Saccharomyces cerevisiae S288C: one gene and its partner. Changing the gene in region 2 together with the main gene of any one other region gives a genetic interaction. Each region holds a gene or a part of one and is shown on either strand. Other genes may lie near its edges.

Evidence for each region. Genes that interact genetically often act in the same process or in processes that back each other up.
Region 1: mutations in PEX7 (region 2) and OLA1 together harm fitness less than expected from each alone (positive genetic interaction), as found in Saccharomyces cerevisiae (one large-scale study listed by BioGRID).

What each region holds. Positions count from the first base shown.
Region 1 is NC_001134.8:289,525-294,417, forward strand, and holds OLA1 (Obg-like ATPase), read right to left. Parts: upstream 2,342-4,893; coding exon 1,157-2,341; downstream 1-1,156. Other genes in the region: putative thioredoxin peroxidase SCO2, read left to right, coding at 1-826; ETR1 (enoyl-[acyl-carrier-protein] reductase), read right to left, coding at 3,353-4,495; YBR027C (uncharacterized protein), read right to left, coding at 4,500-4,832. UniProt on the Saccharomyces cerevisiae protein: Hydrolyzes ATP, and can also hydrolyze GTP with lower efficiency. Has lower affinity for GTP.
Region 2 is NC_001136.10:739,182-744,411, forward strand, and holds PEX7 (Pex7p), read right to left. Parts: upstream 2,420-5,230; coding exon 1,292-2,419; downstream 1-1,291. Other genes in the region: DOP1 (Dop1p), read right to left, coding at 1-816; ubiquitin-protein ligase SAN1, read right to left, coding at 2,861-4,693; MKC7 (aspartyl protease), read right to left, coding at 5,130-5,230. UniProt on the Saccharomyces cerevisiae protein: Receptor required for the peroxisomal import of proteins containing a C-terminal PTS2-type peroxisomal targeting signal, such as 3-oxoacyl-CoA thiolase. Specifically binds to cargo proteins containing a PTS2 peroxisomal targeting signal in the cytosol.

The sequences.
Region 1 (4,893 bases), on a different chromosome or scaffold from region 2:
TGGAGGCGCATATCGAAGAGGGTTTTCAACGGGATGTTGTTTGAGGAGTGATAACAAGGAAAGCCCAAGTGCAAGACAACCACTAGATAGGCTACAACTAGGTGATGAAATCAATGAACCAGAGCCTATTAGAACCAGGTTTTTTCAATTTTCCAGATGGAAGGCCACCATTGCTCTATTGTTGCTAAGTGGTGGGACGTATGCCTATTTATCAAGAAAAAGACGCTTGCTAGAAACTGAAAAGGAAGCAGATGCTAACAGAGCTTACGGTTCAGTAGCACTTGGCGGTCCTTTCAATTTAACAGATTTTAATGGTAAGCCTTTCACTGAGGAGAATTTGAAGGGTAAGTTTTCCATTTTATACTTTGGATTCAGTCATTGCCCCGACATTTGTCCAGAAGAGCTTGACAGATTAACGTATTGGATTTCTGAATTAGATGATAAAGACCATATAAAGATACAGCCATTGTTTATCTCATGTGATCCTGCAAGAGATACACCGGATGTCTTGAAAGAGTACTTAAGCGATTTTCACCCAGCTATCATTGGTTTAACCGGTACGTACGACCAAGTGAAAAGCGTATGCAAAAAATACAAGGTATATTTTTCAACTCCACGTGATGTCAAGCCCAACCAGGATTACTTAGTGGACCATTCGATATTTTTCTATTTGATCGACCCTGAAGGACAGTTTATCGATGCGTTGGGAAGAAACTACGATGAGCAATCTGGTCTCGAAAAGATTCGTGAACAAATTCAGGCGTATGTGCCAAAGGAAGAACGGGAGCGTAGGTCAAAAAAATGGTACTCTTTTATCTTCAATTGAGCAAAAAAAAAAAGAAAAAGACACAGCTAGGATACCGAACTTATGGGTCGTTCAATTTAACAGTTACATTGTAAATAGAAAAAAATAGTAAAAAAAATGAAAGTCAAATGATTATGCTTGTCAGTTCAAATTATTAATTGGGCTTAAGGGCGTAAACATGCGGGAATAATAAACATACATACACACATACATAAAATCCGATGCCATCCACTCGCGAGATTGCTTTTTTCCTTTCGTTTCTCTTTCAAGAAAATCATGTTGAAAATTTCTATGATGATATATAGTAGGGAACTAAACCAAATAAAGAAAAGTCAACTTTAGTGCACGAAATCAATTCTTACCAGCACCAGCTCTGAAGTAAATGATATCACCGTCTTCAACGACATAGTCTTTACCCTTTTGCATCAACTTACCAGCGGCCTTGATGGCAGAATCGTCCTTATATTCGAAGACATCTTCACATTTCATAACTTGAGCCAAAATAAAGGTATTCATTAAATCGTTATGAATAACACCAGCAGCTTGTGGAGCTTTAGTACCTCTTCTGATGGTCCATTCACGAACTTCATCTGGACCGCAGGTGAAAAAGGAAATCAAATCTAACTTTTGTCTCATGGTAGTGATAATCTTTGGCAAGGCAGATATTGTCTGCAGTTTCTTCAATTCTTCTTCAGCATCTTCTGGGGACATATGAGATAGTCTTTCTTCTAGAGAAACACTGAATGGAATGATCAAGTCACCTGGAGAGTACTTGTCTACCCATTCCTTGATTCTTAGCAGATGCTTGTTTTTCTTTCTGATGTAATCTCTTTCAGATAAATTAATCAAATAGATACATGGCTTAGCAGTCAACAAGAACATGGAGTTGATAATTTCAACTTCTTTTGAAGTCCAGGAGTGATTAGCAACTCTTTGACCACTCTCTAGCAATTTAATGATTTTCGTAATCAAATCCATTTCTTCCTTCTTTTGTTTGACTTCCAAAGATTGACCACCTCTTTTGGCAATCTTTTCAGCACCTTCCAAAGCCTTTTGTGCGAATTCAATATCTTTCAATCTTAGTTCTTGGTTAATAATTTCTAAATCACGAACTGGATCAACGTCACCCTCAACGTGGATAATTTCAGCATCATCGAAACAACGAACGACTTGGTAGATAGAATCGACTGATCTGATGTGAGACAAGAAAGCATTACCCAAACCTTCACCAGCAGAGGCACCCTTAGTCAAACCAGCAATATCGTAAACGGTCAAATGAGCTGGAACTTCCGAAGCTGTCTTCTTGTAGATTTCACACAACTTATCAAATCTTGGAGATGGGACAATAACACGGGCTTCTTCTGGATCAATGGTAGCGAATGGATAGTTAGCTGGGTTACCCAATGGACATCTAGTGATGGCTTGGAAAAAGGTAGACTTACCAACATTGGCCAAACCGACAATACCGGCTTTCAAGTTATTACCTGGACGACCCAATAAGACCTTTTTTTCTTCGACTTGCTTCTTTGGAGGCATGTTTTACAGTGCTATTTATTTGATTGTTTTTACGGATACTAGAAGTAACACAAAAAGCTAAAAAAGGCAAAATGCAATAAAAAATTAGTACTAATTATCAACTGAATACACTACTAAATACGATTTCTCGCAACGAAAGGTATGAGAGAGAAGACGTAAGTTGACTTTCACTGCATCCTTCCTTTTGGGTCATAAAATCGCTGGGATGGCCCTTGAAAAAATTTTTTCAGTGAAAAAAAAAAGAATTTTCGAGAAAAAAAAAAAATTAGGAATTGTGCGTGGTCATTCAATACGGAGAATTAAGTAACACGCAACAACTGCATTCTGCCTTAGTTGTCTCAAGGCAAATTGGCACCAACAATATGAACTTGTTGTAAAGCTCAACTCCAAAGAAGGGAAACTACTCAGATTTGTTTTCTTCAGTTTAACAGGCGTATCTTCTGCAAATCTACTACGTTTCCTACCGAAGACTTCGCTCTACGAGAATTCTTAGGTTTCTACGAGTTACGCGCCCTTCTTCGAACGCCATTCTCAGGAAAAATTGCATTTACGTAATCTTTTGTTCTAATTGATATAATGGCTATTTATACGTAATATCATGCTTAAGAACCAAGAAAGCCAATAATGGCATTCGGAGGAAGCAATCAGTGAGGAAAATTGTTGATTAAGCTAGATATTTCTATATCTAGTAGATCTTGTCAAGTTGAAGTAGCGAATAGGACTCCTGTATTGCTATTGTGATGTTTTTTTATTGTACAGTAGTTGTATAACTTATCGTTGGTATTAACTACCGTTTGTTTATACATCATGCTCATTATCTCGTCCTGACTAATGTGAAAGGATCGATATATACATTGAAGGGTCGACGTCCCCTTTTATTAGCTCCTACAAAGATAGCACTGGCATATATTTTTTAATGTCTTGGTATATATTATATAGCAACTATACTCGATGTCATAAAGAGGAATACTATCTTTGGTGGTTGTCTAACTCTGAGCAATGCTAAGGCCCTTACCATTCTAAAACAACCATTTTTTTCTTCCCCTTCCCAGTTATACCTTTTTTGACTAGTTCTAGTAACTGTTCGTCAGTAGTAGTGTTAGTATTCCAGGTAAGAGTTTCAATTTCATCTCTTGGTGAAATAATGTGACCATAATTATACATTTTGATAAAATCACTGATGGTGTCAATCTTGCTTTGGGGGTTTTTTTTGTTCTTTTCAGTCACCCAGTACCCTTTGGATGTCAAGCCTTTGAAAATGTGTAGAGATGTTGGTAAAGTTACAGGTTGTTTTGACATTCCTCCATAAGTGAGCATCAAAGCATTATTTTCCAACTTACGTGCTATTGATGCACTGGATTTACCTCCAACAGAATTCAAGGCAAGCCTCACCCTTGCATTTTCACCCAAAATCTTGGACAATACTTCTTTGGCAAAAGTCTTGTCGTTGTTTTGCGATTCGGAAATAACCTTCGTAGCACCATACTTATCCTCCAAAACTTTTGCTACCTCATCAAAATTATCACGGTCACGTATAACACTTAATGTTTTGATCCCTTTAGCTTTTGCTACTTGCGTAACTATTTTTGATACACTAGATGTACCGGCATTTTGGATAATCCATTCATTACCGTTACTGTTCCAGTCGATATAGTCTGATACTAATTGGAAACCGGTACAACCATTAACAGATACAGTTGCCGCAGAAAACAGATCCAAATCATTTACCTTGATTAAATCAGAACTACTAGAGAAAACTCTATAATTGGACCAAGTCCCTTGATTTGCCTGCAATGGGATAACTCGGTCACCCAATTTCAAATCTCCCTTGGAACTTCCCGAAGGTAAAGAAACAACTTCAAAGACACCCTCATTACCGGCGATAGCGGCTGGCTCATCTGTGGAGTAATCGTATGTCTTTTCTGGACGAGACGGGTATACTCCTTGCAACTGATTGATATCCGAAGGGTTTATGGGAAAGGCCAAAGTTTTTAACACAATTGATTGAGATAAGTCTTGTTTAGGCGTATAATTTTTCACTGACAAAACCTTGGTACAATCCTCAACTTCATGAGTTGAATAGATGAGCGATTTGAAGTGCTTGGGAATCTGATGAGCTGAGGACGACATGTAACGTTTGAATGTGGGAAGCATCTTGTTATATCAAATGTAATTGGCAGATTATGAACCTTCTTAAATGACAATGTACGTTTGTAATCTCCAATTTCTTTAGCCATGGAAACAACCCCTGGGTACACCACTCGTGCGTCCCTTGGAGGAGAACCACTCTTTTAAGGTAAAAAAAAAAGCACCGGCGGGGTCCAATAATGATAATAATACCATAAATAAGGAAGATGGTATCACCGATTGGTCCAGAAGTATTATCCATACAGTTGTTTTTAATATTATTACATACATTATATATTAAAAATGTGTTTCGTAACCCTAAAGCAAAACAAAGTATATACAGTGACACAGATCCTTTAAACATCAAAAAAACAAAAAAAAGTAAGTCAGTGCAGATCCGAGCCTTCTCTCTTAATCTATCTAAC
Region 2 (5,230 bases):
ATCTTTGGCAGCAGGCAATAAGACCTTGAAAGCTTCTTCTTTTCTTTTTTTCCTGTCTAGATGAGAATCGTTGGTTTCAGTTTCACTTGGGTTCTCTTCCGCTTCCATTTTTATTTTATTTACTAGATGAGGTACAGCATTCAACGACGGAAACTTTCTAGTCAACCACGTGAGTCCGCCCAGTCTTCTGCCTTTATTTGCAGTCATGACTAGAAACAACGTTTGCCAAAATAAGGAATCATCATCCAAGTTCTCCTGCAGAGTCTCAATGAGTTTTAAAGTTAAAGGTAAAAAATCGTTGCTTTCATCATCAATTCCTGGCAATAAACTAGAAATCAAAGGTCTGATGAGCAGTCTTAACGTTGTTTGAGGCAACAGAAGGATATAGTTATCGTAAAGCTCTATCAAATGTGACCTAACAGACATAGAGGCATAAGTCATCAAAGGTAAAATTCCCGGGATCCAAATGTTACATTCTGTAGCCAGAGTTTCAAGGCCAATATGTTCAAAGATATACGTATATACTTCTAAAGTTTTCTGATGAACACCTGCTGGTAACGCCGGCGATAATGAGGATGTCAATCTTCGACTTACTTGATATGGAGAAGGAACATAGTACCTTACATTCTGAAATTTAGGTGACCAGCTTTGCAACGCCTTTAATAGTGTTCCCAAACTAGCAATATAGTCCGCCCATTCTGTTACAGAGTCAAATCTTTCTAATGCTCGCTCGACATTAGCACGAAACTTCTTCTGTTTGGAGTCTAGTTGTTTATTATTTGAGTCAATTGTAAGGGGCTTTAGTGGTAAGGACATTTTTTGTCGATCCTCTCAGAAAAAGCTGCTCTGTCGGCTTTTTATTTCACCGTTATAAACATAATTGGGAGGCTTGAGTTTTATATTAGGTATTGCTATTGTTCCTTTTCCAGTGAGATCGAAGCTTAGCCTTTGAAAAAACCAAAATCACTTTTGATCACGTGCCTCGGGTGGAACGCCCAGCAAATATATAAGTATGTCGTTTATTAATAAAACGGTAATCGGACTCTAAATATTCCTTCTTTCAGCACTCGCTTATGTCGTTATAAAAACTTGATTAATTTGAGTAATTAGCAGTTTTTGCCGTAGGTATGTTTTTAGAATGTTCTTTTGCACAGTCAGAAGCGTTGTTACCCATAATTTCGTGTTGAGAATATTAAATAATTACGTAAATGATCTGCCAAATGCTGACAATGATTGAAAAATAATTTTAAAGTTTAAATAATGCAAAAAATTTGTGTAAAAAGAATATGTGTCAACCTAAGCCGTTCCATACAAATAAATTTCCATCCCATGCAGTTGAAGCCACATATCCTGGCTTTCCCCACAAGCTCCAGTCAGCTCCAAATACGAATTCTGAATGCTGTGTGAAATTGAAAATGGAACCTTTAGTAGCATCCGTAGAGTTAGTTTTATATGTTTCTTTTGCACCATCGTTGCTGAGATCTCTCCATATTCGACAGGTCATATCATATGAAGCTGACATTAAAATATTGGAATGATGAGGGGACCAGGTAACTTTTCTGATTGCCAGCCCGTGCGCATTAGGGATTTCATTGATGCATGATGAATTGTGAAGTTGGCCGGGCACAGTCCTCTTGATAGTCGCTGATTCATTTTTATTTAGCATCCTAATGTCCCAGATTCTAATGGCATTATCTACACCTCCTGTGGCAACTACATAAGGTCTGTATTTGTTGAAATCGCAAGTCAATGCTTCTAGTCCTGAATGCACTAAAAAATTATTCTGATTTTTGCCGGAAGGTAGTCTAATGTCAAATAAGCTTGCATAAGAATTCCCTGAACAGGATAATACGAGATTTTGGTCGTGGGGCGAGAACTGTGCTTGGTATACACAGTTCCTGTTTTTTGAAATACCTGTAAAGCTTTTCTTTTTCAATATAATGGCGTTTAATGGATCCACCATTTTGGTAATCTCTAAAGGTCGTGGAGTAAGGGTCATTAAACTTTGCTTTCTTAGAGGGGACCATATTTTTATAGATCCATCCCATGAACTACTTAAGAAATTCTGCCTGTTGACTAAGTTCCAATTACAACTGAATACTTCTCGTTCATGCTCTTTAAATATAGCAATAGGAAACTCTTTAAAGGTTGTATCAAACAAGCGTAATGTACCATCGCCCTGTGCAACCAACACTTGGTTTTCATGACTTTCGTTCCATGCAAGATCAAATAAACAATCCTGTGTTAAAAAGGAATTAACTTCCACTATTCTACCTGAACGATCAATCTCAAGGATGAACAATTTTCCATTCCCAACCAGGCCAAAGTTTGAACCAGCAGCTACCGCGAGCCTGTTATCGAAAAAGGGAGAATACTGGACACCGTACCCACTAAAACCTTGCATATGATATCTGAGCATGTTGTATAAATTATGCAAAAAGTTAGATGATAGTCCGTTAACAATATGAGATCTCTGCACTTTTCGAGCGTCGAATTCCAAATCAGAAAGAAAACGATTTCGACCTCCGGTAAAAGATTTTATGGTAAGAAAACACAGTTTGTGTTCCACAGTTCTTAAAAGTGTTTTCACCTTTTACTGTTTTGCGAAACGACTTTTCAGAGGAGGTTATGTCGGTGGTTTAATTTCTCGGCCTTCATATTTACTTGCTGGAGACATGCAAATTTCTGATTAACAATGATTATAGAACTTTAAGTAGAAGTAAAGAAAAATAAGTATATGATATATATATATAAAGATGCAGATAAAAAAAAGGTAAAAGGAGTAGAAAATAATGTCTGAAAATGGATGACTGCCAATAGGACATATTTTCATATTAACATACTTCAGAAGCGGTATTGTTTATTGTGATGATCGTTGCTCATTGTTATCATTAGGGACGTCGTTATGAATGGTGGTGTCCGAACTGCTTGAACCTTGGCCTTGAGAGGGATTTTCGTCTGTAGGAGGAAAGGCAGCAGAATTGTTGTTGCGTAGTTCGACGGTAGTAACATCACCATTTTGATTTCTATAACTGGCAACACCGGAGGAAAACAAGTTATTTCTGTTGTTCTCACCAGTACTTCCACCTCGTTGTTGATCATTGCTATGGTTATTGTCGTTATTGTTGTCTCTTGAGCCATTCGTAAAATGGCCTGTTAATCGTGAAATATTTTCCAAAAAGGAACTTCCTTGCGTTGTATCAGAGGACGATGAGTCATTACGTCCTTGGTTGTGAACAGTTTGTGCTCCGGGTGCTGTTGTTGCAGAGGTATCAGAAGTTCCCCTCTGAGCAACGTTGAATATGTGATCCAAAACGGCTCTTAGTCTGTTGTGGTGAGGGTCTGTAGCGTCACTACTAGTGTTATTTGAGTTTGGACCGTTCGCTGCTGATGGGCTTGCCGAAGAATCAGAAGCGGAAGGATTCGGATTTGGACTGTGGAATTGGAACAAAGTCAAAGGGATGGGAACCCAGCGCGGACTTTGATTGTTATTCGAACCACCAGAATTAGAGGGTGGATTTTGAGTAGTTGAGCTCGGCCCGTTGACACCGTTTCTATCGCTATCATTAGGCGGTAAACGGACTGGATTGTGTAAAGGTTGGCCGTTTTGAGGCACTAAAAAAAAGCCTGTTCTTGATAACATCTGTTCGCCAGAACTTGCATTTCCGATAGTGGGAACCGTTGTATTGGACGTGTTTTCGGATGGGGCGGAACTATTTTCGTTAGTGCTATTCACTGCAGTTGGGTCGTATAAAACTCGTCTAATACGTTCAAAAGCAGCTTCGTTAGCTGCTACTTCATCCGTATCTTGTTGGGCTGCACGTTGAACACCTACAGATTCGCTGATCTTTTGTCTACAAAGGGGACAAGAATTTTCTAATCTTGACCATTTGTAGATACATTCCCTCCCAAAAATGTGGCCACAAGGTAACTTGATTGGTGAGTGTTTGTAGCTTGGATTTGTTTCTTCATCATTGAGAGTGCGTTGTTGTTCAGTGAGAGGAATAGAAGGCGGTTCAACAACCGTAGCATTTGTAATCGATGGGTTACTGTCATTATCGGCGGTTGTGCGTAGGGGCGCACCTTCATTATCCTTCCTTTTTTTTGTTCCTTCAGATTCCTCCTCATTTTCAGAATCCCTTTTTCTTTTTGCTTTAGTTGAATCAACTTCATCTTCATATTCGTCATAACATATACTACATAAGGGCCCTTCGGCCTTGGGTAGATCAGAAACTTGCAGAACGGGGAGCTTATCAAACTCATCCTTTGATATTCCTTTTGGTCTATTTAATAGTCTGTTGAATCTCTCCATTGCAAGCTGAGCAGCAACAGATATGAAGCTGTTCAAACGGTCTTGTGGAGTAGACGCAGGAACATCACGAAAAGATAAAACAAGAGCACCGTCGGGTTGATGGCCCCCATTTCCGATGCCAAAGCTGGGCCCAGTACCGTTGGCAATCGTGCTACCGGATGCTGCGCTGTTGTTTTCGTTATTATCATTATTAGATATATTGCTCAAATGTGCTAATCTCTCCGGAGTGAAATAGGAATACTGAATGGAAACGGTTATGTTTCTTGTTTGCTCAGCACCACCATTGAGTGGACCGGAAGCTGCATTTGAATTATTATTATTTTCAGCATTATTTGGTGATGTATTTGTGCCTCTGTTTTGTTCTTGACCACTTTCACTCATAATGAACAAAAGCTGAGGTTACAAGACTATGAGAGAAAACAAAGGGGAAAAAAGGGAGAAACGAACTATCCTGAAATGCTAAATAATTTCTATCTATAGTAGCTTCACTAGAGGATATATATGATAAACTATATTTCCTTCAATATATAGTTTTTAGCTATTATTTCATTATTGATTTGGTGATACTAATGCAATGTAGTTATATGTAAAAAATTCTTTCATATTTTTTGACAATGGCAGATAGAATGTTTTACCCGGCTTTTTGCGTCGAAGTATATAATTGTTGATTAAGAAGCCAGTAACAATAAAAAAGAACAGTATTATTTATTTTACGTTAAAAGACGCTTTTCTTTCAAGTAATGTACAATGTTATACCTCCAGATATACATTGCAACTTTTAAAGTCTAGTAAATGCTTATATGGAGGGAGGGATTTATCAAATGTGATGAAAAATAGCTGTAATGAACCTGGCGAAAAATGGAGGATTCAGATTGTGTCCTCCGTTTTCTTTTCTCGTAGATGAACTTGAGGTGGGAG